Yarrowia lipolytica: one gene and its partners. The protein of the gene in region 3 binds, or shares a complex with, the protein of the main gene of each other region. Links are inferred from orthologs where the notes say so. Each region holds a gene or a part of one and is shown on either strand. Other genes may lie near its edges. The genes, in order: YALI1_A21565g, YALI1_C23548g, YALI1_D15744g and YALI1_E28130g.

Region 1 (6,002 bases), on a different chromosome or scaffold from region 3:
CACCCAGAATCGTCTCAACTATGATAGACAGTAAGGCCGCTGTACGCTTAAATCGCAAATGCGCAGAAACAACCACATCCACATCGCTTCCTGGAATAGTGATGGGACTCTCCGCTGCCGTCAGAAAGTAATGCCAGATAGCCAGCTTGTCCAAAGCCTGTTGAGATGACAGCTTTTCCATTTCCAAAGCAATCTCTTGGTTGCGTGTAGATGCCACTGAGGATTGGAGTTTCTGGTTCATCTCCATGACTGTCTTTACATGCGACACCATGGACTCGTTGTCGTGCTGTTTTTCACGGTGTTTTGTCTCCCACAATTCAATCTCGGCTTGCAAGTCTGCTACAACCTCTCGAAATCTCATGACGCTCTGTTCAAGGTTCTGTTGGCGATTATGTGCATCGTTGGTTCGTTTCTCGGCGTGATTCAGCTCAGATTCCAGATAGGCGATTTCCTGGTGAAGTTGCTTCTGTGTGGCTACGTGACCTGCCTCTAACTCATCATTCAGCTCCTTAAGCTCCTCCAGCTCGGCCACTGTAGCCTGCAGCTTCTCCACTGACTCTGTAAGAGCCAGGTTTTTCTCCGTCAGAGAATCGATCAGCGTCTCGGACACCATGACATCATCCAGCTGGGCTCTCAGTTCATGTAGGGTAGCCTGGGTTTCCTCAAGCCGCTTCTCAGAGCTTTCCAGCTGCGATTGAGTCAATGAATAGTCTGTAAGTTTGGAGTTCAGTTGCTTGATCTGTTCATTGAGAGATGCCTCCTGAGCCGTAGAGTAGTCTCGTAGACTCACAAGAGCCGCTTCAAGCTGGGCGTTTCGTTGAATGGCAGCCTCATCAGCTGAGTCGATTCTCTCCGAAGGCACGTTGAGCTCTTGTCGCAGTTCCTCCATTTCTCGTTTGGCAATCTCCAGCTTTTCTTCTGCCATTTCTCTGTCAAGAGTAGCCATCTCCAAAGCGTCTTCGTGCTGTTCCAGCTTCACCTTGGCATGGGCATGTTCATTGGAAGTCTTGGTGAGATCGGCGCGTAGCTGCTTGACCTCGTCACTCAGGGGACGCAGTTTACTCTCCAGCTTGGCGACAATTGTCTCGAGTTTCTTTTTTTCACGCAAATCTGTCTGAAGTTGCTGAATTTGTTCTCGCTCAAGCTTTCTTTTGCTATCTGTGACACGTAGCTTGGCCTTGAGACTCTCCACCTGCTTGGCCAAAGCTGTAGACGAGTCTGAGACGTCTGACATGGCCGACTGGGGTCGTTGAGACGGTCTAGGCACCTCTGGAGGCGGCATGAGGTCTGCGTCTGTCTCCACTTGTGGTCGTCTCACAAACTTTCCCGATGTTCCTTTGCATTCAAAGTACCGAACTCCCTGGACGCTGCCGTCATTGTTTCCCTGTCCCTCAACCATTTCCACTCCAATCCACTCTCCCGTGGAGAACTGAGTGGGTCCGATGAATCGGACGTGCGCCGGCACTCCCTTGACCCGCACGCGATCTCCGACTTTCATGTGTGCAAGTATCGTACAGTAGCAGTGGTGCTCGTGATGTGTCGCAGTGTCGTGGAGGTAGATATTCGGACTGCATGCCGACGGTAAATGAAATATCCTAAATTTGTTAGTTAGTTAGTTAGCATAGTTAAGTACTTCTGGTAGCTATAACACCCTATAAAATAACGGCCCGACACGTGATTTTGGCGTACTAAATTCTATGTAGTTTTCTCGCCCATATCAACTTCCAAATCGACTCTTCAGGACCTCACTTTTGCTACTTGTAGATATGATTATTCTGCATTCGCCATCTATAAACAAATCCCATCCACCAACCTACATTACAATACATGTATGCGTAGACAATGCACAACGAGTTTAGGCTAAAACGCGTCTCGTTTATTCCCACAACCTATCACCACAGTACAAACACAACCCCCACAATCACCATAATGCAGTCGGCACGACGAAAACAGACGGCGTTCCCCTCTCGGGGCGTGGCTGCCACCAAGCGAGAATTATCTGCGGATCAACGACAAGAGATCCAGGAGGCCTTCGACCTGTTCGATGCCCATCAGAACCGAGCTCTGGACTTTCATACCCTCAGAGCAGCCATGCGAGCACTCGGCTTCGAGCTCAAGAAGGCTGAGGTGCTGCAGATTCTGGACGAGAACGACACGACACAGCAGGGCGTGATGACGTGGGAGGCGTTTGAGCAGGTTATGACACAGATGATTCTGGACCGAGACCCGCTGGAGGAGGTCAAGCGGGCCTTCCAGCTGTTTGACGAGGACAACACCGGTATTATCACTATCAAAAACCTGCGAAAGGTGGCCCGAGAACTCAACGAAAATATCGACGAGAGTGAACTGCAGGCCATGATTGAGGAGTTTGACCTTGACCAGGATGGAGGAAGTGAGTATGAGTGAAAGAGAGCTGATGGAGCATCACAAAGAAGAAGTCTACTAACACAGTCAATCTCGAGGAATTCATCGCCATTTGTACCGAAAACTAGCTTATTTAATCTAATGTATTTTTATCATCCACAGCTGGTGGAATTGTGTGGATGTACATGTGTTTAACGTATTAATTAAGTCTAATGCCATATACCGTATTTGAAGCATCCTTTATGTCTATTGCTGATCTTTATGATCGACCTACAAGTACTGTAGAAGTAGTTTGGTGGTATCCTTGGTTTTTGTCAGTCTTCTTACATAAGCAAACATGACAAGTCCCAGTGATATCTTCGGTGACATAAATAGAGTTTGGGAGAGGTAAAAAGTGCACGTGACGTCAAATTTTCGACGGCAACGATGACCACAAAATCAAGACTCCAGAGTGTATGAAAATCCGTAAATCAATGTGAAATAACCCGCTCTATATTTCCCACCTACTTCCTTTTTCTCAGCTCTCTCTGTGCGCCAATGAAATCGATCTGATGTTCATTTCTCTCGAACCCTCCCAACAGGGCAAGGGCCTGAAATTTTCATTTTCATCAGAACTCATACAAACCACCACCCTCACACAATGAGACCTACGCGGACGGTACTGAAATCGAGGTTCATCCACGACCCCAAGACCATCTACCCTCGGGTCCGTGTGGATCGGATCCAGCGGGCCACTCTCAAAAAGGCCCCCAAGTTCCAGCAGGTTCTGGCCAGCCATGCCGTTCCCGAGTGGGAGCGATTCACCAAGGAGAGCCAATGGCACTTTATGCCCGGCGACAAGGTCCAGATCCTGGCTGGCCCCGACAAGGGCAAGGTGTCTCAGATCATGGCTCGACACGAGGAGGGAAACTCTTACCTGGTTGATGGAGTCAACGGTACTCAGACCTTCCCAATTCCTCCTGCTATGGCCCAGGAAGGACAGACCACCCACGTGATCGAGTTCCCCAACCCTCTGAAGCAGTCGGAGCTGCGTCTGGTGGCCCAGCGACCTGAGGAGGACGGTACCACCACCGAGGTTGCTATTGCTGCCGTGGAGTGCGTGGGAACCTACTACGACCCTGCCTACAAGCGAGTGCTCCCCCGACGAGTCATGGCCCACGATCACAAGACCCAGGTGCCATGGCCCGCTCCTCTCGAGCCTGTCGAGCATGTGGAGGGCTCTACCGAGCGAGATGTGGCTCGAGAACGAACCCACTGGGTCACTTCTCTGGTCAAGCCTCCTTTCCCCATCGGAGCTCTGCCCGACATTCGAAACGTGCACCACAAGCGATTCAAGCGATTCTCCGAGCGAGAGGTCGATCTCCTCACAGCCCCCAAGCCCTTCATCCCCAAGGGCACCCCCGAGCTTTTCGCTCGACCCCAGCACAAGAAGCCTGAGAACAAGCTCACTGCTGAGATGGAGGCCTTCATTGGCAACGTCATGCAGAAGCACGCTGACGCCCAGGTGGGCCAGCATGACCGAGTCAAGGGCCTCAAGTATAAATAGTGTATATAGTAGCATGATAGCAATTTTCTGACTTGAAGAGCGTATGTAGGCCGTGAGTACGCTCTAGACCTGATGGCCTGACGTCGTCAAGTAACCTCGTTGTCGCGGACCGCGAGACCACGAAACCACGAAACCACGAGTTCTCCGGACCTATTTATCGTAATGAAATAGAGACATCTTGATCGTAGGCTTTTTTATGATCTCTGGACTACAAATCGCCCGCGGCCGTGTAGTCTAGTAAAGGAAGGATACTTGTATCGAAAAAGCGTACAGTAACAAGTTACTACTTGTAGTGGGTGCATAGTAGGTAAACCAGTCTAAAGTGTGTCTTCATAGGTGTCTCTTCGTCAACCCTTCGATGCACTCGAGAATGAAGTACAAGTAGTACAGAACTTGTAGAGTGATGAGCTCATGCACATGCCTTGTCTCGAGTATGAGGGTGTAAGCAGTGGTCTATCTGATAGTGGAGCAAGTAGAATGACTAAATTCTCAGATATCGTTTATCTCTAATCCATCTTACTAAATTCCAAGTCCGGCCAAATCTTCCTACTTTTTTCACGTACTTTTCATTATTGTATAGTAGTTACTCCTCAACTACCATCGGGAATTCCAACTATAAGAAGTGGACTACGACCACGCCCTCCAGACTCCATCCCTCACCTCTCAACTTCAAAACTGCTTATGTAAGAGGCTACCCAACAGCCCAGCAAAGAAATATGAGCTTAGACACTCATAAGTCTTCGTCTTGGACCTCTGTCTAACTCATTAGTAGTCAAAGCCTCTGTCTCAGAAACAATAACAGCCGTAGACTTGCTAACTACAGCACATTCTATATGAGTAACGTGCTTGTAACGTATTGGTAAATACTTGTAGAAAATGAACTACCGCCCAAACATGTTGTCCCCTCAGACTTTCACGTAATACGGTCTCGCGTCGCCCGGTCTGACCCTTACCTTCCCAGTCTGAAGTCAACCTCAAACTGCCCAATTTGCGAGTAGCTAATCTTGAACAGGGCGATCTACATCACCAGGTTGCCATAATATGTAATTCATATAGAATTCGCAACTGTCGAGCGAGTCTGAAGGTGGGCGGCTAAAATCATGGCTATGTTGCCAAGAGGTCTCACAAAACCAAAATTAACAAGTCCTGGCGTGCAACCACATTTGAATCTCTCTCTACTTGTAGGCTTGAAAACCATACAAGCGCTGCTTGCCGAAACCACCATCGCCACATAGTAGAGACAAACCCGTGGGCTGTTAAATTACCACCGCCTCGACACGTCGCGGTTGCGCTTGTAGCGCCCTTGACGTCTTACTCCTACAAGCACCTACGGTAATTACACGTCTCAATCCGTCTGTTTTCGGACAGACTCCAGGCTGTGTTTGGAAAGACAGATGCCAAAAAAAGTTTGCCCGTCAAAACCTTTGCCTGACCCACATGGTAACACTAAATTGAAGCAGGCCACTGAGATAAAGGAAGTGAGTAGAGTAGCAGTACTCGCAGCAAGAATGAGAACCTGGTTCATATGTTTTTGATTACTAAGTGGTACCAGGTGATTAGCTCTGTTTCATGTGCCCGTTCTGACCCCACTGATGACTAGCTACTGTCTCCCATGCACCAACTCTTTGTTTGCTCAAAATGAAACGTTCCATGCACAGGACACGGCTACCCGCCTAGAATGTGTAAGGAGAAAACCTTCTGGCCTCTGGGGAAGTTTTCTGGGAGCTTGACAGTGGTCAAGTGAGGAATAGAAAATATTATTTTGAGTGGATTGTGGTTTAGATATAATCTCGAATACTTTCCGAGCTGTCCACAATTCTCTCTGTTTTAATCCACCCATTGCTTCGTGTCTTATCAGCCAAAGTATCTCAACGTTAGTCTTCCCCACGTGTGCAACCCTGTGCCAAAAGGTCGTAAAATGTATAGGAGCCACTAACGAAAAAGTGCATGCTCCAAGTAGATTGACAATAGTGCAAAAACAACATGTCTTCAGAAACTCTCCTCCTTCCCCAATGGTGATTTGCACGCCCTATTACAACCGACAGACCATCAAGGTGGGCCTTCGGGCGGTCCAACTCACCCTCATCATGAC
Region 2 (5,869 bases), on a different chromosome or scaffold from region 3:
CCATGAGTCATATTTGGAGACCTTGGCGAAGGTCTTTCCAGACGTGATCAGATTTTTTATTTGTATAATACAGCACATCATATTATCAGTGGGTGGGCTGTAGCTTGAGTACAGTGCGAGAAAAAGTGTATATTTCTCCGTAGTGATTTTTTATTACAATTTATTTAAATTTTAAAAAATATTAAATATATTATATATATATAAATAAATTGTTTTTTCCTTATTTTCCTATTTTCCTATTTTCCCTATTTATAATTAATTATTTATCACCACCTAATTAAGCTCCAGGTTAGGGCTTGAAAATAAAGTTGTCACTAAGTTTGATGTCTTTTCGTCACCGCCACAAGTCTATTTTCCAGCCACGACACCAGCCACAAGACTACATATGGCACTATAATTGACGGAAAATTGGCCGCGAGTTGAGATGGAGCACCGTTGTGGAATCTGTTGCGCCAATCTCTGGAAGCGAAAAGGGCGATTACGTAATATAGGAAGGGGAAACTTGCTCAATGCCCGGAAACGTTACCCGCTCCCAGTCACCCTTGCTGCCCTCAAATGTCTCCACTTTGTCCCTATAAATTTTCCCGTGGGCTCTCCCATCCAACTTTCACCTCTCCACACCACATAACCACACAACCACATACTCGCACAACACTCACAACATGTCCGACCTTCCTTCCAGTTTCGATAACGGTAACAGCATTGAGTGAGTAAGAAATAAAGTGGGGATTTTCGGGGGGGATTCGGGGGTATTTATATTGAGGGTGGCGAATTACGCAAATTACACCGGGCGTGTGACGCAACTTTGAACCAGGCGGTAAAACGACAAAACCAGGAAGAATGGGCAGCGACACACAGACGGAGAGATACATGGAGGTGGGAAAAACGATACGAACGGGTCCGACTTGTCAAATTGGCCACTGTTGCGAAGGAGAATATTCAATGGCAATATCTTGCTACAAGGGGTGAACAGTGAAGAGCAATGTTTGGGTAGTTATCCTACAGCGAGACCCATAGCGGTCTTATCTTATGATTCGGTCTTGGGTGTTGGCCTGTGTCATTTGATATCGTCAAGCTCTTTTTCGAATGGAGTCCTGGTCATTGAACCAACCGCAAGTACCGTGCTTCGGTGATAGGATGAGACCACTCCAAACGATAGGGACTTCTCCGACGTCAGAAAAAAAACACCCAGCAGCTCACGATACCTTCTTAAGCCGCGGTGGTCTTTGACAGTTGACTCAGCCTTTCTCCTTCTACCTCGCTACCAAAACCTGTACCTGCTCTATTCTCGCTGACTGGGCTGTCAAGCAGCTCTCATCATATTGCAGCCAAGCACCCTCCCCAGCCCCTCTATTTGAGCGTTGCACGACCTTCTCGACTGAGAATTCTATGGTGTGATGCTTTCCATTGACTCACTTCATTGTACTAACCCAGCGAAAACGAAAAGTCTCCCGGATACTACAAGATTCTCGAGCGATGCAAGGAGCAGCCCCTTGTCCCCCTTGGCTGTCTTGCTACCTGTGGAGCTCTGATCCTCTCTGCGCGAGCCCTGCGAGTGGGTAACAAGCGCCAGGCCAACCGAATGTTCTTTGCTCGAGTGGCGTTCCAGGGTCTGACTGTGGCCGCCCTTATTGGAGGAGCTATGTACTACGGCCAGGACCCCAAGCAGAAGCTGGAGCAAAAGGAGCGTGAAAAGATGCTTGCTCGACACCGAGAGAAGCTGTGGATCGAGGAGCTCGAGCGACGAGACCTGGAGGTCCAGGAGCGACGAAAGCGAGCTGCTGCTTTCCGTCAGCAGGAGGAGGAGAAGTAGAGGGCGTGATTATTGCATAGCAATTGCACCCCGGCCAGAAACATGTTTCACTGGCGAGAATTTCCTAGTGTGTCCTTCCAGGGAAACATTTCTGAGTCGCACAGTATCGCATGCAAGTAAGCGGTACCAGAGTTTAGTTTTGTGTATATAGTTAACGTCATGATTGAGGCGCGTGGAGTGTAGCGACGCGGTTGTACTATAGAGCGGTTCTTGATACGAATGTGCACTCCATTGCGAGAATACTCTCAGTTCCGTTCCTTCTAAGAGCTGTACCACTCTACAGATCTGCGGGTAACACCGATAACAGAAGGACTTGCGCCGTGGTTACTACTGCAATCTTCTATGCCTCCGTTTGCACTCGTTATGATGTGTGACCAGGAGCTGACTTGTCTCTATACGAATCCTGTGCATAACGGGCTGTTCGTACGAGGCTTGGAGTCATTTCGTCATTGAGAAGCAACTCCATGACCCTCACCGCTGTCCTAGGTCTCCAGCCCCTCACCAGTGCCCTAGGTCTCCAGCTGCCTCATTCAAACTCCCGCACTGGTGTCTCACTCTCAATCAATCAATCATACCTTTTGCTATGTACATTTTATCCTAGTGGTGGGACCATCTGTGGGGTTGTGTAACGTCCTGTTGTGTTGGTGTCCACCACTACTTCTTCACCTCGGCCTTCCACTCAGACTGCCAGATTTTGTTGGGGGGAGTCTCGGTAGGCACTCGCATTTCGATGGGGAACTTGTTGCCCTTGACTCGCAGCACGGCGGCGTTGAACAGGAATCCGTCCACCTTTCGCAGTTCCTCGCACGTGTCTTGCAGCATCTCATACTGCTGTCTGTGTTGCTGCTCTCGGGCCAGCTTTTCGGCCAGCCGCTCCTCTCGCCACGCCACCTGCACGATTCGGTGTCGAATCAGATCCTCCTGGCTGAGCTCGAGCTTCTTGGGAGCCATTCGCTTGGGCGACATGGCCGACATCTGGTTCACGAGCTTTCGCGCTCCAGGGTCCAGATCGTTGGCCGTCTTGGTTCGCTTGGTTCGCAGGGCCAGCTGGGGCACCCGCCGAGCCACACAGGTCGTTCGCACGGTTCCAAACATTGTGGTCTTGTGTGTGGTGTGGTGTGGTGTTGCACAGATCAGGTATTTTTTCAGCTGGCAGAAGGGGACATGCAGCGGCCGTAAGTTCGATTTGCACCTGGCAACTTTTAAAATTGAAATTGAAGTTGTTGGGGGTTCGATTCCGAGGGAGGTCGTTCCAGGAAAAGAGATACAGCAACAGTCACTCCGCGATTCTTCCTCAATACAAACATGAATTCTGACATTCAAACAGCCTGTACCTGTCCCCGTACTAATACAGTACAGTATGTACTAGACATTACTAGGTTGTGATTGGTAAGCAGAGCTTGCTGTCGCTCACTCGTACTCGTATAATACAATAAATAATCTACTTTTTTCTAGTAATAAATATCGAGCTGGGTTTCTGTCGCCGAGGCGGAGGAGAAGCTCTGGTTAGTGGTGGTACAGATGGCGGGGGAGGCGCTTGCGCGGGTGGCAGAGGCGGGGAAACGTGCCGATTGATTGGGGGAGGAGATTGTGGTGGAGTGGTCGAAGTGACGACTGGCGCAGTCTCGGGTCCAGGCCCACGCCTGAAAATACCCATATCTGTCCGCTGCACCTTGGTAGGCGAGGCGCTGCCGCTCGAGTGTCCAATGGCGTTTGTTTTGGGCATGGGAGTGGGCCGTTTGAGAGGTCGCTTCAAGGATGTGGTGCTCATGGCTTCAACAGGAACCGGAATGGACGAAATGCGGTGGTCCGAATTGAAGCCTCCATTGACACGGACGGTATCACGACCCGCAGAGGGCTGGGGGTCACGTGTAGGGTCACGTGGTTGGTTTCTGTTTGTGCGGTCGAAAAACGACTTGCGGTTCGTTTCCAGAAATGTGGGGTTGCTGGGGGAAAACATGCTGCCCTTGGAACGCATTTCCAGTCGCAATCGACCCACAACAGACGACTTTGCTCGCTGAATGTATTGTCGTCGCTGAGAAGACTCAGCCCGCGGGTCCACGTCCAACTGGGTGATCATGATTTCCGACTTGCGTTGTTGTTCACGTGCAATGTTTCGTTTGAGCCGATTACTGCTCTCGCGCAAACGAGTCTCCTTTTCCTCCTGGTAGCGCAGGTATGTTTCCTTGAAGTTCTTTTTTGGTAATGGGCGGTCAGAAAAGTCGCGACCGATGAAGTGCTTCCATACTGGTTCCGAGTCGCGTGCAATATGTGGAGAGATGGACTCAATGTGGAGCATTTGGCGGCACTTGAACTTGCGGAGAATGGGCTCCACCAAGTGGTAGGGCGTATCGCCGATATCTTGGATTTCTGAGTTAGTAACCGTGATGAGTGTGGTCGGAGGTACGGGGTAACGAGTGGACAACACCCTACAGGGTGTTAGGAGGTTGGAAAGAGCCCATGGAGCAGTTCTGGCCGTGGCATAGTTCAGAGGCGCCAAGGGTAACAGTCTGAGGTGCTGTCTATCGAAGCATACCGACATTTGAGCTGAATCCCGGTCATTTTTCCGCTTATTGTTGCAGCTCAGACACACTGACAGCGAGATTAGTTGAGAACATGGCTTGGTTTGAAGCAACTAGTTCTGAACACCCTGGCCGGTGGCACAGAGACAACCTCAGAACCTGTCTTCACAGCCAGAGCCAGTCACAGGACCAAGAACGGAGGTCGGTTCAACTCAGTCTGTGTCACAAGGATGACACAAATGAGCATATAATGGCCAAGAGCGTCGACAGACACACAAAATGACACGGCGTCATGCTCGCGAGACTCAGTCTCGGCCTCCACGTTTCCATTCTCTTCTCACCTAGCAAAGGTTAACCAAATCGTCCCTGACTCCTGAATGACGTGTCCATAACCTGTGTTCAAATCAGGAGTCCCCAAGGGGTCTTGCTGAACGCTCTGACCTGCTTTACACGCACAACCTCGAGCTCCCGTTTGTGTCTTTTCCGATTGTGTACTCACGATGACTGTGCCTCTGGCATGTTTTGCGGGCCAACTCGACCAGGGAGGGGACTCCCTTGGATGATCGAGCTTCCAGCTCCGATAACGACAGCATGAGAAGGTGTTTACAGCCTCGGGCAAGTGATTGGCGAGATATAGAGGATTTCAAGTCGTTTCGGGCTGGTACCTAGCTGTGGTCAGCCAGATATAAATATGCACTATAGAGTTTGCACGTGACGCAATCAAAACATGGTGGCGGATGAGTGGCGATATTGGTGGCCGACGGAGAGGATTTGGAAGAGGGGGAAATGTTACTAAGAAGTCTTGAGAATATGAGTTTGTTTTTGTTTTTGTTTTTGTTTGTTTTTTCTGATTCTTGCAGATTTTTTCTGATTCTTGCAGATTTTTTCTGATTTTTTTTTTTTTTTTTGCTATTCTCGCCTTTTTCTCATAAAGTCACCCATGATGAGTACAAGTAAATGCTCCATTTAGGGGGAAAAAGGGGAAATATATATATTTAAAAGAAATTAAAAAAATTAAAAAATTATTGTGGACTTTAGATGGATTTTAGGTGAATTTAGGTGAATTTAGGTGAATTTAGGGGAATTTAGGTGAATTTAGGTGATTTTAGGGGAATTTAGGTGATTTTAGGGGAATTTAGGTGAATTTAGGTGGATTTTAGATAAATTTTAGGTGAATATAGGAGGATTATGAGTGAACTTTAGATGGAATAGATATTTATTCCAGGAAATTCAGAAAAAAGAAATAGTTGAGAATAATTGAAAGAAATTGAAGATAAAAAGTAGCAATGGGGTTAGATATCTTTGCATGGACCAATATAATCCATAGAACCCTTTTACGGGTCCGTATAAGCCGTGTATTAAAGCTCAAGCTATTTCAATCAGCGATATCTTGAAGTACAGCCAGTTCAAGTGCAACTTTCAGTTCTTGAGTCATACGAGAGTCGTATATCTATTAATCCTTGCTAAGATTGATTTTATCTTCTATATTGTGTTTTTTGTCCTATCGTGTCACGCTTTGTAGGACTGGAACATG
Region 3 (6,319 bases):
AGGACATTAGGTGGAAACGGCTGATTGTAGATGAAGGTCACGTGGTTGGAAATAACAACTCCATTCTGGACATTTGTGGGCAGGAGTGGATTGCTGAGTGTCGATGGGTCGTCTCAGGAACGCCTACAGCCGGATTGACGCGTCTAGACACAACGACTCTGTTCGACCACAAGTCCGATCTTCAGAAACTGGGCCGAATAATGGGTGAGTTTCTCAAGATTGAACCGTGGAGTTCGAGCCCTAGCTCGTGGCAGCAGTCGGTCGTGAAGCCTCTTCTAGCTGGTCGGTACGACGGCTTTGAGCACGCTGTCAGGGTCTTGTCTGGAGTTCTAGTGCGTCATCAGATTGAAGACGTGGAGCAAAGCACAAGGCTACCGCCCCTCTACAATGACGTGGTCTTTTTGAATCCCTCATTCTACGACCGAATTATCGCGAACCTCTATGTCTCCAATATCTGTCTGCTCAACTTGGTTGATGAAAAGAAGTTCGGTTTGAAAAATCTTCTCCGTCGACTCAGAGGAGCCTTCGTGGTCTCCACCAATTATGAGACTCGAGATATCCAATTCTTTCTCGATGAGCTGAGTGCTTACATCTACGAAAACCGGGTGGCTCTCACTGGCCCCGATAATGAAAATGATGCTCGGCTTATCAAGAAGATCTTTTCGGCCTTGAACTACGCGGCAACTTCTGGCAACTGGCTCCAGATTGCCGGAACACAAGAGATGCCCTTCTTTGTGGAAGATGAGACTCGCACATCGCGTGCCTTCCAGATGGCTAATCCCCTTATCGTTCGAGACAAGCGTGAGTACGGAATTATTGGAGGTGCACCGCTGACATATCTACAAAGGGCCGCCAGTGAGGATGAAAAGCTGGATCTGTGGACGGAAACGAAATCCAAAGATGGCACACCTTTGGAGGGTGTTATTAAAGAGCTGTCTGATGATCCCTTGTTCTCAAGCAGATTCTGGACATCCTACAACAGAAATGTTGACAATAAGAGAGAGCGGAAAGACAAGAAGAATCCAGCCGTCAAGAATTTTCATCATGCAAAGCAGAAAATATCTCCCGAAGAATATCTTGAAAGCGTGGGTTTGAAGGTAGAGTCTGCTCCTACAGGAGCGCCTCAAAATCACCATTCGCAATTGGAGGCGGATTATCCAGTGAGTGACAAACCCACAATTGTCGGAACTGGCTCGTCCAAGTTGTCTTACCTGGTGTCCAAGACTCTTGTTCTTGTTAAAGATCACAAGATCATTGTTTTTTACGAAGACGTGGACTCAGCCGTCGCTGTTGCTGAGGCCTTTGAAGCAGTAGGGATCAAGCACCTCATTTACACGACAGACAAGGTTTCAAAGGAGAGACGCGCCCAGTATCTCGCCACGTTTGAAGCGACGGACAACTTCCAGGTACTTCTCATGAACATCAACGCTGCTGCGCATGGTCTCAACATCACCTCTGCCTCGTGGGTATTCTTTCTTTCTCCCGTGTGGAGACGAGACATCGAAGCTCAGGCTATCAAGCGAGCTCACCGTATTGGTCAAAAGTCGGAGGTGCACGTAGAGACCCTCGTACTCCAAGATACTCTGGAGGAAGATATTTATCGACGTCGAACGGAGATCTCAGATGCTAATGACGAAACCCCAAAGGAAATGGTTGACGACGACCAGCTGCGAGAAACGCTTCTCAACTACGCTTTAACATCCATGGAGAATCTTCACAAAGGAACGACAGACGAAGTCGCGTTCTTTGACAAGCCTGTCCCGCTGTATATCAAGGTCGATAAACACGACCAGTTTGAGAACTCTCTGGTTCACTTCGAGGGTCTGCCGGTGAGAAAGAAGAGGAAGAAGACTGTGGTTGCTGATGGATTTGCATCTTCCAAGAGGAGTAAGGGAAACTTGGTTAAAAAAGAAACTACTGCAAATAGATAGCATTTTTAATACTACAGAAGTCGAAGTAAGCGTATAACATTCAATCATTTAAATCATGTCTATTTAGATGGGCTCGCTAAGGACGTGGTTGAGTCGAGCAATCTTGGAGGCGACAGAGACGTCAACGGTTCGCTCAGCAACCTCGACAATGAGACCACCGAGGATATCGGGGTTAACCTTGAGGTTGAGCTTGAGCTCACCCTCACCAACGAAAGAAGAGCCAGCAATGGCGGCCTGGATTCGGTTGACGGTCTTCTTGTCGAGCTCGGAGGCAGAGGTGACGGTGGCCTCAACGAGACCCTTGGATGCGTTGACGAGAGTCTCGAACTTCTCAATGATACCGGGGATGAGAGCCAGTCGGTTGTTGTCGGAGATGACGGTCAGGAAGTTGGTGAGAGTCTTGTCTCCACCAACGGCCTGGGACAGGACGTTGACGACAGTCTGCTTGTCCTCGTGAGAGAGGGTGGGGTTAGAGACAATCTGGGCAACCTCGGGCTGCTGAGCGAACACGTCCCGCAGCTTGGCGAGAGAGCCCTCAGTCTTGGAGAGGTCAGACTCCTTGGCGGCGGCGGTGTACTGAGTTAGTAAATAGCAATAGAGATTGGAAGTGTTATCTGGAGTTGGCGTGTTGGGAATTGACGTCGAGCCTTGGAAGAATGTACGAAGTTGGCATGGGAAGAGGGATTGCGCATGTCGTCTTGTTACTCCATAGAGTGTGTGTTACCCCAACATTGAGCAATTAACCTACAGTGACGAGGTTACACGAGGTTACACGCAACAAAAAGGTTGACAAAACACGATATCGAGCTCTGAGAGCTGCTCAATTCGTCGTTAAATCAGCCAGCTGCATGTTGCCTCCCATTGATCCTTCCTCTCCTCCTCTCCCTTCCTGCATTATGTTGAGTAGTGTTGTGCTGGCCTCTACTACAGTACCACCATGATTGCATCCATCCACGTGTCAAGGGTATCATTCCAGTCGAATTGCATCTGCAACACGACCCATCAGGCCAATTCAGTTCTTGTCAATTCCTCGCTGTCGTCGTTTCCAATTGCACCGTTTCCTCCGGGAAAACCGTCCCCTCCATCCTTCCAAAAAACACAATTATACCCACCAGAGCAGTAGCGTAAGTACCGTCGAGGCCGAAGAGCTGGACGGGGACCTTGACAGGGGCGGCGGCCTTGGTGGCCATGGTTCGGGCCATGGGCCGCATGGACATCATTCGAATGGCTCGGGAAGCGAACATCTTGAGGTGTGGTGTTGTGTCTGAGCTGAACTGTGTCGATATGTACACGGGGGAGGAAAACGGGGCGCACCATTTTTCGGTTTGAGCCAATGGGCGTGCACGCTGGGTGGTAGCGTATTTCTGGGCACGCCTCCACACTATAGAGCCCGTACTTGTGGTACCGGTTGGGAGGAATCGTAAGCGGTAAATCAGGGTTGGGGTAGTGCAGGTGCGAAATTTCAAATCATATCACCGTGAACAAGGTGCCAAAAGCGAAAATACTAAACCTCCGTACCGTCGCCCCAACCTCGACAAAATGAACCGACTCGTCTCTCGACACCTGTCGGCCCGAATTGGACGTATCGGAGCGATCCAGCCGGCCATCTCGCTGGCTCCCTTGCGGGCCTTTTCGACCTTTCCCAGACTGCGACAGGAGCAGCAGCCCCCCGTGGCTGAGGACTCGTTTATCGACGAGGAGATCAAGGGCGCCACTCCCAAGCGTCAGCGGGTCCGACCCACTCGAATGAAGCCGTTTGTGGACTCGGAGGCCGCCATGTTTGCCCGAAACACCAGTGTCAGCGACATCACCTTGGTGCCCGAAACGGTCGATCTGACTGCTCTGGAAAAGCAGGATATCTACATGAAGAGCCAGCGCAAGATCACCAAGGCCGCCGTCAAGTTCAAGACCATGACTCCCATCTCGCCCTCCATGCGATGGTACAAGGCTGCCATCTACCCTTACCTGTGGAAGGGCAAGCCCCACCGGGCTCTGACTGTGGCCCGAAAGGCCCGAAACGGTCGGTGTAGCAACACTGGCCGAGTCGTGACTCGACACCAGGGTGGAGGACACCGACGACGAGTGCGGCTCATTGATTTCTTCCGACAGGAGACTGGAGAGTGCGAGGTTGTGCGGATCGAGCGAGACCCCAACCGAAGCGGCCACATTGCGCTCCTCAAGAACAAGGAGTCCGGCAACTTTTCCTACATCACTGCTCCCGAGGGTACTCGAGCCGGTGACACGGTGCAGTCGTTCCTCAACGGCATCCCCCAGAACATCATTGACGAGTTCCACGGCCAGACCGACCCCGCCATGTTGGCCTACCGACTGTGTCGAAAGGGCAACTGTCTGCCCATGTGGATGATCCCCGTGGGTACCGTCATCCACGCCATTTCCACCGAGCCCCACGGCAAGGCCAAGTTCTGCCGAGCTGCCGGAACCTACGGACGTCTCATTGGAAAGGAGCCCGCCAAGAACAAGGCCATCGTGCGAATGCAGAGTGGCGAAGAGCGATACGTGCATCTCAAGGCCTCGGCCACCATCGGTGTGGTGTCTGCTCCTGACCATCAGAACGAGTCGTTCGGAAAGGCCGGCAGATCGCGATGGAGAGGTATCCGACCCACCGTGCGAGGTGTAGCCATGAACGCCTGCGACCATCCCCACGGAGGTGGACGAGGAAAGTCCAAGGGTAACGTGACGTCGCGATCCATCTGGGGCGTGCTGGCCAAGCGATACAAGACCCGACGAGGCAAGCACCAGAACCCCAACAAGCTCAAGGATCGACCTCGATACAAGGAGCAGCGAAAGTAATGTATATAGTATAAGTGAACGGGACCGTATTGAACGAACGAACGAAAACGACTGACTCAAAAGAGTGACCAAAGTATGTACTGGTATGATCAGCTGCCATGGAACTGCAATATATATTGTTGAACCATCTATGTATGTTAACACAATCCATACATCAAGACAGAGGTATAATGTAGACAAAGCAGAGACACGGAACAGAGGGCTTCGTGCAAGTATGATACAACTACTTGTGCTGCACTCGTACCAGTATGGCGGTGGTGTAAGTGGTTGTTAATGTTGCACGTATCCAATCATGCTGAGCGAGCCCTGGAACGAAGAACGCTGCATCTAGTTACTTAGTTAAGATTGTTTGGTTGGTAATAGTTGGAGATAATTCATGCTGATGGTATACATTTCAGGGTTGCTGGCATGTTAGCAAGAAACAAATAGTATCATTACATACAGAATATACAAGATCTGAACAAATAAACGACAATATTTTGCTTTGTAATACTGTTATGCCTCAGTATTCCAGTTTGCAAGATGTGAGTTAGGTTTCGTTGGTTGACGCGTTGTTGGTGAATACTTATACCTTAACTATTAGTCAAGACACATCCTGCAAGTAGTCAGCCTTGAGCCGCGAATATGCCTACTACAGGATCAGAAAAGGCACATACAAGGCACACAAGACGCAATTCAGATACAGTATTCAAGGTGTCTGTCCATAGATATGTCTAGTCTTTATACTATATACGATACTCGTACTTCATGGACCAAACCCAAGCTGGCCCACTGTGTTCCCCTTTAAAAGTCTACATTCACCCAAAAACCCTAGCCCACTCAATAAAACCAATATATATTATAATACTTGAGAAGAACACTTCTCTTTTTTGAACCGAGCGTCGAGTTCATTTGAACCTCTCTTTTTCCTTTAGTGAGACTCATTCCAAGAGTTGGAAGTGGCAGCTTCAGGATGAGCCTCAGCAGGAGCACCTGGAGGAACAGAACCAGGGGCGCCTGCAGCAGTGCCAGCAGCAGCGCCAGCAGCAGCACCCCCTTCACCGTTCATCATCAGATATTGGTACCAGTCGCCAATATTGAGCGATTGAGGGGCGTATCCAAATCCACTGGCCGCGGTGGGCTCGTCCTCGGGCGACGACTTGTAGGTGCCGCCTTCGGTGTGGCTGGCTCCGTCGGCGTGGGCAAACATGTCCGGAGGAAGCGCGCTGGTGGCGGGCTCCTGGAGCTGCGACTGCAGGTTAGACATATCGCCAGTCACGTCGGGGAAAAGCTGCATGGGCTGGAACGACTCAAAGAAGGTGTTCGAAGCCGGCGGGGTGTTAGTGACAAAGTAAAAGTCCGGATGCGGGGTGCCGGGCTTGGATGGCAGCGTGCCGTTGAAAGGGGTGCCGGGATTTGTAGGAGGCTGTCTATCGCCCAGGTACTCCTCTCCTTCCTGCTGCGATTGCTGCTGCTGGTCAAACGCATGATTGTTGAACTTGCGTTCTGGCTGTGGCTGATGCGTCTGTTGTTGCTGTTGTGTGTGTTGCTGTTGTTGTTGCTGCTGCTGCTGCTGTTGCTGTCGAGCATGCTGCTGC
Region 4 (6,214 bases), on a different chromosome or scaffold from region 3:
GCTAACCCCGGCTTCTGGAACGGCCCCTTTCGAGTGAGTATCGCGCAGCGGGTTTCGAGAGCACAAAACGCCGCGGCCTGGCCGTAAACACACCCAGAAATGGCTATGTCAATCGACACAAGGTGACCCCAACACCAAAGAGACGTGGTGGGTGGAACGAATGACCGTATGAATGGAACGACCATATGAATGGAATGAACAGCTGATTCACTCTCGGGTCTTTCGTTTGTGCCACGTCACCGAGATGTCTGCAGACTATGTAGAGACTGACTCCGTCTGAGCCCCACTAACACAACCCAGTACCTTCGATGGTCTGCTCATAACCGACCCCATCTCTTCTTCGCCTTCGCCATTGGAATCGCCGGCCCTGTCGCCGCGCTCACACTGACTCCTCTACGAAGAAAGTACCTTTACCCCGATCACAGCCCCCTTCCCCAATCATATCCTCGTGAGTATTATTAAGAGTTGTTGCGTTGCAATGGACGTCGGTGGTTGACAAAACTGCCAGTCTGTCTGATGGTCTGTGATAGTCTGTGATTGGTCTGTGATGTTTGTGATTGTCTGTGATTTGTCTTGTGATTGTCTGTGGATTGTCTGTGGATTGTCTGTGATTGTCTGTGATTTTCTGTGATTGTTCTGTGATTGGTCTGTCTGGTAACTGGACGAGCTGATCCCAAGCCACCATGACTACCTCAATCAACCGAATCAGACTGCAGTCGACTAGATCAACTGACCAGACTACTGAGCTTCTACGGTCTGAGTCGCAGGCCCTGCGGTCATCGGCTCATACCGTCAGCCTCCACTGCACCCCATTTTTACTATACTAACCGAGTCCCCCAGCGTGCTCGAGAGCAGCTCACTGGCTTCGATGACGAGTAAATAGCATGAATTCATTAGACTTATAAGTTGCACAGACCGAGGGACGGCACTTGGAGGAAGATGGTCGGTACAATTGGACTGTAGCCCAACCTGCCGCAACACTTCATGATGGAGTACCAACGACCACCCGACAAGTTGGAGTCGTTCGGAAGGTGTATCTTGGAACAGTACATATATACTCGTACTTCTAGATGTTAATAGTCAGAACTCCAGATCACACTGTTCCATTCATATAAATGTCCTGACAAGTAGGTGCAAGTGCAGACGTATGACCAACACCTCTTCTCCGAGATTATGTTCGACAGATGATTAGTGTATTCTACTGTCTAAGCACAGCCCTTCGTCATTTACATATCAACTGGTACATACAGTACTCGTTCCTCTGAGCTCTTAGATCATCTTCACCTGTTTCATGGAAGCGATCTCGTCACCTGATATGTTCCAGCTGCTACCCCGTTGCTGCTACTTCTGTTACTCATTCTTCGGTGGCTTACTCGTTAAGAACTAACAACTCGTTTCGCACGCTATTCGCTCATCGGTTACTCATTTTGTTCATTTCGTTCGAGCAACGCGCTATGCTCGTCACTCGCCCTAGCTATATACATTACCATCGGTAGTCAGACTTGAGGTACCCATCTCCCACCTTTCGGGTCTCGTGCTGGAACACGGGCTTCTTGGCCAGGCGCTTGTACTCCTTGTCACGGGCCTCTCGCTGCTGGGTCACGGGGGTTCGCAGAATAGCCCGGATGTGGATGTACTCGGCGTGTTTCATGCCGGCTCGTCCTCGGCCCTTCGGGTCCACGAACCGGAACTTTCGGGGGTCCGAGCCGACCCAGATCTCGTCAATGTACAGAGTCTCGGGGTCAATGTTCATGTCCTTGGCGGCGCTGACTCCTCGCTGGAGCAGCTCAGCAACGGGTCGGCCCATTCGCTTGGCAGAAAACTGGCACTGAGTGATGGCCTCACGCACGTTCATCTTACGCAGCATTCGCAGCAGCAGCTGGGCCTTCTTCCAGGTGCCGTCGATTCGGTACGACTTGCAGTAGACAGAGGGCTCGAACGCCTTGATCTCGTTGGGCGACAGCACCATCTGGTACTCCCGGCCGTCGACAGACACCTTTTTGGTCTTGTCGTAGCCCTTGTGCTGGCTCTGGTAGGCGTCCCACAGCCGCTGCTTGAGGGCGGTGCCGTACTTTGCAATACCCACCTCCGCCTCGCCCTTTTGCTCGGCAATGTACTCCTGCAGCTTGGTGTCGTTTTTGAACGATGGCAGCTTGCCCTTGGTCTCGTCGGCGTTCTGCTCGACCTCCTTGGATCTCTTGTTTGCCGTCGCCTTGTCCAGATCCTGCTTGATGGACTCCTTGTTTTCTGTCATGCTGCCGAACCAGTCGTTGGATCGCGCGGCGGTAGAGTGGAACGGCCGCAGGGCAACCAGCCGGGAGGCCGGCGCCACGCTTTTGCCAAACATCTTCTTCCACAGCATGGTTGTGTGTGCTGTTATACGGTCAGTGAGGGCTCGTATGGTGATGCGTCAACTGGAGATAGATTTTTCAGGGTACGGGTTAACAGAGAGTCAACCTAAACGGGAGAAACTGCAACAACCGTGAGACAAGAGTATACTGTCGGAGCCGAATCGGAGTTAGGAGCGATATAAGTGGTTGTAGGAAGGAATCTTGTCCTCGTTTACACATAAGTCGGTCGAACAACACCAATAATCACCTCATTCTTCAATCCCCATCCTTTCTTCAACCCATGCAGTAGTCTGGAGAGTGGTGTCGGGTCCCGTGGGTTCGATTCCAGGTTGTGTTCATTCTTGTATGCACTTTTAGAATTGTTAATATGTTGATGAAGAGCACGGTTTTTGGTTATCCTGGGGTCTACGTATGTATTAATTCTGTCTTTTGAATATCTCTACTATCATTACTTGTTTCAGTAGACACCTCCTCTCTATATATACTCGGATATATTGACATGATTTAGTATACACAGCCAACAGAGTGGTTATTATTGGTACTGGATTAGTAAGCAATGTAAGATCACGTGAGAAGACACAACCGAAACAGCTGTCTCAGATTCTTCGCTCTTGACACTTGTATCTCTCTCATGGTGTCTGGAAGCCCGCAACCGAGACATATAGCATGGTCTTTTTTAGTTGACTTTTAGTTGAAAGAAGAAGTTGTGATGGGTTTCTGTCTGGTGCTCCAGTTGCTTTCGTAGAGAAAAAAGCGTATAAAACTGTAGAGCAGTGTCACACAGTCTCCGATATATACTATTGACATGATATTTCTGTTACAAACTCGCCCATTCGACACAGTTATGTGATTTCAAGCTGATACTTTACTTGAATGTTTAGTTGACAAGTGTGTCTGGCGTGGGTCCGAATACAACGACTACAGTGCTCTTTGAGATTTGCAGTGTCCACTCTCTCTACCCTCTCATGTCATAATCATTAAATATGTAAATGCAGTGTATCACGATTTTCTATCCTCACGGTCACGCCATGTCTCTCAGTTCCACCTCGCCCGAACGCAACAGTCGATGGCCCTCATCGCTGTCGTCTTCTTCTCCCATCACTTCCACGTCCACGGGCTTCACGTACTTCCTCTTGACCAGAGGACGACATCCCTTGTATTTCACCTGCTGGTAGAGCAGAACGAGATCCCAGAAAAAGCGGAACCAGCATGCCCAAAAGAGACCCGAGGGACGCACGGCCCGCACGACTTTGTTTCGGTTTCTCTCCTTGGTGGGCTTGGCCTTTTTGGCGCCCAGAACGTCGAGAATCCCGAAAAACGCGCCCGCCAGATCCAGCACAATGAGCAAAAACGACGAGCCCACACAGCTCTGCACCGTCCAGTTGCACGACACCTGCGGCACGTAACGGGCGTAGACGCTGAAGTCTCCGATGATTCCAAGCCAGTCCACCACGTCAATGAACTTGATACCCAGATAGCCGACTCCAGGAGGCGAGGGCACCTTTGCAAAGGGATGGGACTTGACCGCCATCAGCAGGAACACAAGCACGCCGAAAAAAAGACCCATAATCACCTTGCATTCCAGAGACCACGACTGCGCATTGGTCTGGGTGTGTCTGTATGAATACCACGCCTGCACAGCACACACGCCCCACACCAATGACTCGTTCAAGTCAATTAGGGCAATCACCCCGGACGCGCTGGGCATATCAAACGCTAACGGGTATCTCTGCACAAACTGCCGATGGACCAGATCGCTGTTGATGTATGTGAGGGTGAAGACGAAATGACACACCGCCCCCACGAACGCCCAGAGTCCGTAGTCGAGCGAAAAGCCAGCCACCGACGACCGTTTGTTGTTGAGAACGGCCTGCGGATACGGCGTAAGCAGCCGCAACGCCTGGTGCAAATATATCCATCCCGTCATAGCTGGGTCGATATGCCGTAATTATATATGAGATGAGGTATATATTGAGACCGCGTATGCATGCTTGGTGCAGTATGCATAAACCTTAATATGATACATTATATAGCGGGGTGAGTTGGATATTGAGGTTGGCTGATATTGAGGTTTTGTCGATTGGGGAAAGGAGATTGGCGAATTTGGTAGACAGAAGAGATATTGTGATACATGTTCACACACTCTGCGGTTCATCCAGTACTTTGTAAGCGTAATATAGATTCGACTGTAACTTGCCCATTATTCTCACAGGCGACTAAAGAATAAAAGAAATGGATTCCTCAGATACAGAGGATCATTTTGGTACCAGGAACGGGTGGTTTAGATGGCGTTCATGTGCTGTTATGTGTTACTTTGACTTGTTATGTTGATGTTCTACTTAGAGAGAGTGGGAGTGCGGCAAGTGCGTCGCGGCAAGGGGTGTGTTTCCCCTGTTTTTTTTTTCCCCCTCTTTTTTCTTCTTCTTTCTACTCATCGCTTTACCACCCTCCTTTGGCGCATCTAACACTCCAACCATAGTCCTTCGACTCAATCGCCCAATTTGATCTCTTCACTTGTCACCAACCTCTCCTGTGCAGTTGTCATGTGCTCCACCACAACTCCTCTTCCTGGCGACATGACAAATGGGGCTACTCACGATCATCAAGAAACAAAAGCTCAAGGATAAGGAGATCCGTGTGCTCATGCTGTGAGTGAGAGGAAGCGACGTGTCTGGGTGTGAGAGGGAACAGTACTAACACAGTGGTCTGGACAACTCGGGCAAGACGACGATAGTCAAGAAGATTCTCAACGAGGACGTGAACGAGGTGTCTCCGACGCTGGGCTTCAACATCCGCACGGTGACAAGGGGCCAGTACAAGCTCAACATCTGGGACATTGGCGGCCAAAAGACTCTGCGACCTTTCTGGAGAAACTACTTTGAGAAGACGGACTTCATGATCTGGGTGGTAGACGCCAGTGCCACCGACCGACTCCACGATTGCCGCAAAGAGCTGCAAGCGATTCTCAACGAGGACCGACTGGTTGGAGCCGGAGTGCTCATCTGGATCAACAAGCTGGATCTGGTGGACCCAGATCAGCGGGACAAGACCGTTGAACGCATCAGCGGCCATCTGGACCTCGACCAGATCCCCGAGGGCCACAACACCACCATAATGGGCTGCAGTGCGTACACGGGGTACAATTTGGACGCAGGCATGGATCTGGTGGTGAAAGAGGTGTCTGAACGGTTGTTTTTGTTTGATTAGGAACGAGGAGCGAGGAGCGAGGAGCGTCTACAGTCAAGACTGGACTAGGAGAAAGTCGAAAACGTCGAAAAGTTGCATCTAAACGACGAAAAGAGGGTCTTTAAGTCATCAGTGCACGGCAGAAGAACCAAAGTGCTTGAACTGGAGGAGAATGTGGGTTGAATGGAGTGTGTACTACCTACAGTACTTACAATACTTGGTAACTGAGTTGTATACCCAGCTGTCAGGAATATGAAACCAGGTGGTTTTCGAACCCGATAATTTTCATAGATGGATAGAATAGATCTCAAGTACTGAATTATTTGTACGAGTACTGACATTTTGTACTTGTTCTTCTACTCGTACTTACTCAGTTCTTTTTTATTCTTTTTTTATTTTTTATATATATTTTTTATATTAATTTTTACACTCACCTTTCCTTCTCTTTTAACTAATGGTTCTCTAGTTTAGTTGACTAATATTAGATCTTAGTTAAGTGGGTTTCGATACATACTGCCGTTCTCATGCTCGTTTTAAAAGTAGTTCCTTTTTCGTAAGACTGATGAAATTACTGAAGAAATGACAATACTCTCACCTTTGTGTTTGTGTCACTCTCTGTGGCCCCATTGTGAATATAAATGCCCCCTCGTGTCCCCCTCTGTCCCGCTGTGCACTCC

The links.
Region 1: YALI1_D15744g (region 3) and YALI1_A21565g share a complex: the UniProt entries of both Saccharomyces cerevisiae proteins name them as parts of the mitochondrial large ribosomal subunit. The link is inferred for Yarrowia lipolytica from reciprocal best matches to the Saccharomyces cerevisiae genes RML2 and MRPL40.
Region 2: YALI1_D15744g (region 3) and YALI1_C23548g share a complex: the UniProt entries of both Saccharomyces cerevisiae proteins name them as parts of the mitochondrial large ribosomal subunit. The link is inferred for Yarrowia lipolytica from reciprocal best matches to the Saccharomyces cerevisiae genes RML2 and MRPL28.
Region 4: YALI1_D15744g (region 3) and YALI1_E28130g share a complex: the UniProt entries of both Saccharomyces cerevisiae proteins name them as parts of the mitochondrial large ribosomal subunit. The link is inferred for Yarrowia lipolytica from reciprocal best matches to the Saccharomyces cerevisiae genes RML2 and MRPL22.

Annotation. Positions count from the first base shown.
Region 1 is NC_090770.1:2,153,500-2,159,501, forward strand, and holds YALI1_A21565g (mitochondrial 54S ribosomal protein uL24m), read left to right. Parts: upstream 1-3,004; coding exon 3,005-3,910; downstream 3,911-6,002. Other genes in the region: YALI1_A21550g (uncharacterized protein), read right to left, coding at 1-1,498; YALI1_A21554g (uncharacterized protein), read left to right, coding at 1,843-2,392, 2,452-2,492; YALI1_A21594g (uncharacterized protein), read left to right, coding at 5,923-6,002. UniProt on the Saccharomyces cerevisiae protein: Component of the mitochondrial ribosome (mitoribosome), a dedicated translation machinery responsible for the synthesis of mitochondrial genome-encoded proteins, including at least some of the essential transmembrane subunits of the mitochondrial respiratory chain.
Region 2 is NC_090772.1:2,351,947-2,357,815, forward strand, and holds YALI1_C23548g (mitochondrial 54S ribosomal protein mL40), read right to left. Parts: upstream 2,909-5,869; coding exon 2,468-2,908; downstream 1-2,467. Other genes in the region: YALI1_C23511g (uncharacterized protein), read left to right, coding at 1-103; YALI1_C23526g (uncharacterized protein), read left to right, coding at 663-706, 1,435-1,813; YALI1_C23563g (uncharacterized protein), read right to left, coding at 3,255-4,355. UniProt on the Saccharomyces cerevisiae protein: Component of the mitochondrial ribosome (mitoribosome), a dedicated translation machinery responsible for the synthesis of mitochondrial genome-encoded proteins, including at least some of the essential transmembrane subunits of the mitochondrial respiratory chain.
Region 3 is NC_090773.1:1,570,991-1,577,309, forward strand, and holds YALI1_D15744g (mitochondrial 54S ribosomal protein uL2m), read left to right. Parts: upstream 1-3,470; coding exon 3,471-4,742; downstream 4,743-6,319. Other genes in the region: YALI1_D15696g (uncharacterized protein), read left to right, coding at 1-1,931; YALI1_D15734g (uncharacterized protein), read right to left, coding at 1,995-2,507, 3,044-3,175; YALI1_D15792g (uncharacterized protein), read right to left, coding at 5,653-6,319. UniProt on the Saccharomyces cerevisiae protein: Component of the mitochondrial ribosome (mitoribosome), a dedicated translation machinery responsible for the synthesis of mitochondrial genome-encoded proteins, including at least some of the essential transmembrane subunits of the mitochondrial respiratory chain.
Region 4 is NC_090774.1:2,810,705-2,816,918, forward strand, and holds YALI1_E28130g (mitochondrial 54S ribosomal protein uL22m), read right to left. Parts: upstream 2,363-6,214; coding exon 1,484-2,362; downstream 1-1,483. Other genes in the region: YALI1_E28107g (uncharacterized protein), read left to right, coding at 1-33, 301-448, 833-879; YALI1_E28150g (uncharacterized protein), read right to left, coding at 3,373-4,278; YALI1_E28156g (uncharacterized protein), read left to right, coding at 4,935-4,999, 5,054-5,558. UniProt on the Saccharomyces cerevisiae protein: Component of the mitochondrial ribosome (mitoribosome), a dedicated translation machinery responsible for the synthesis of mitochondrial genome-encoded proteins, including at least some of the essential transmembrane subunits of the mitochondrial respiratory chain.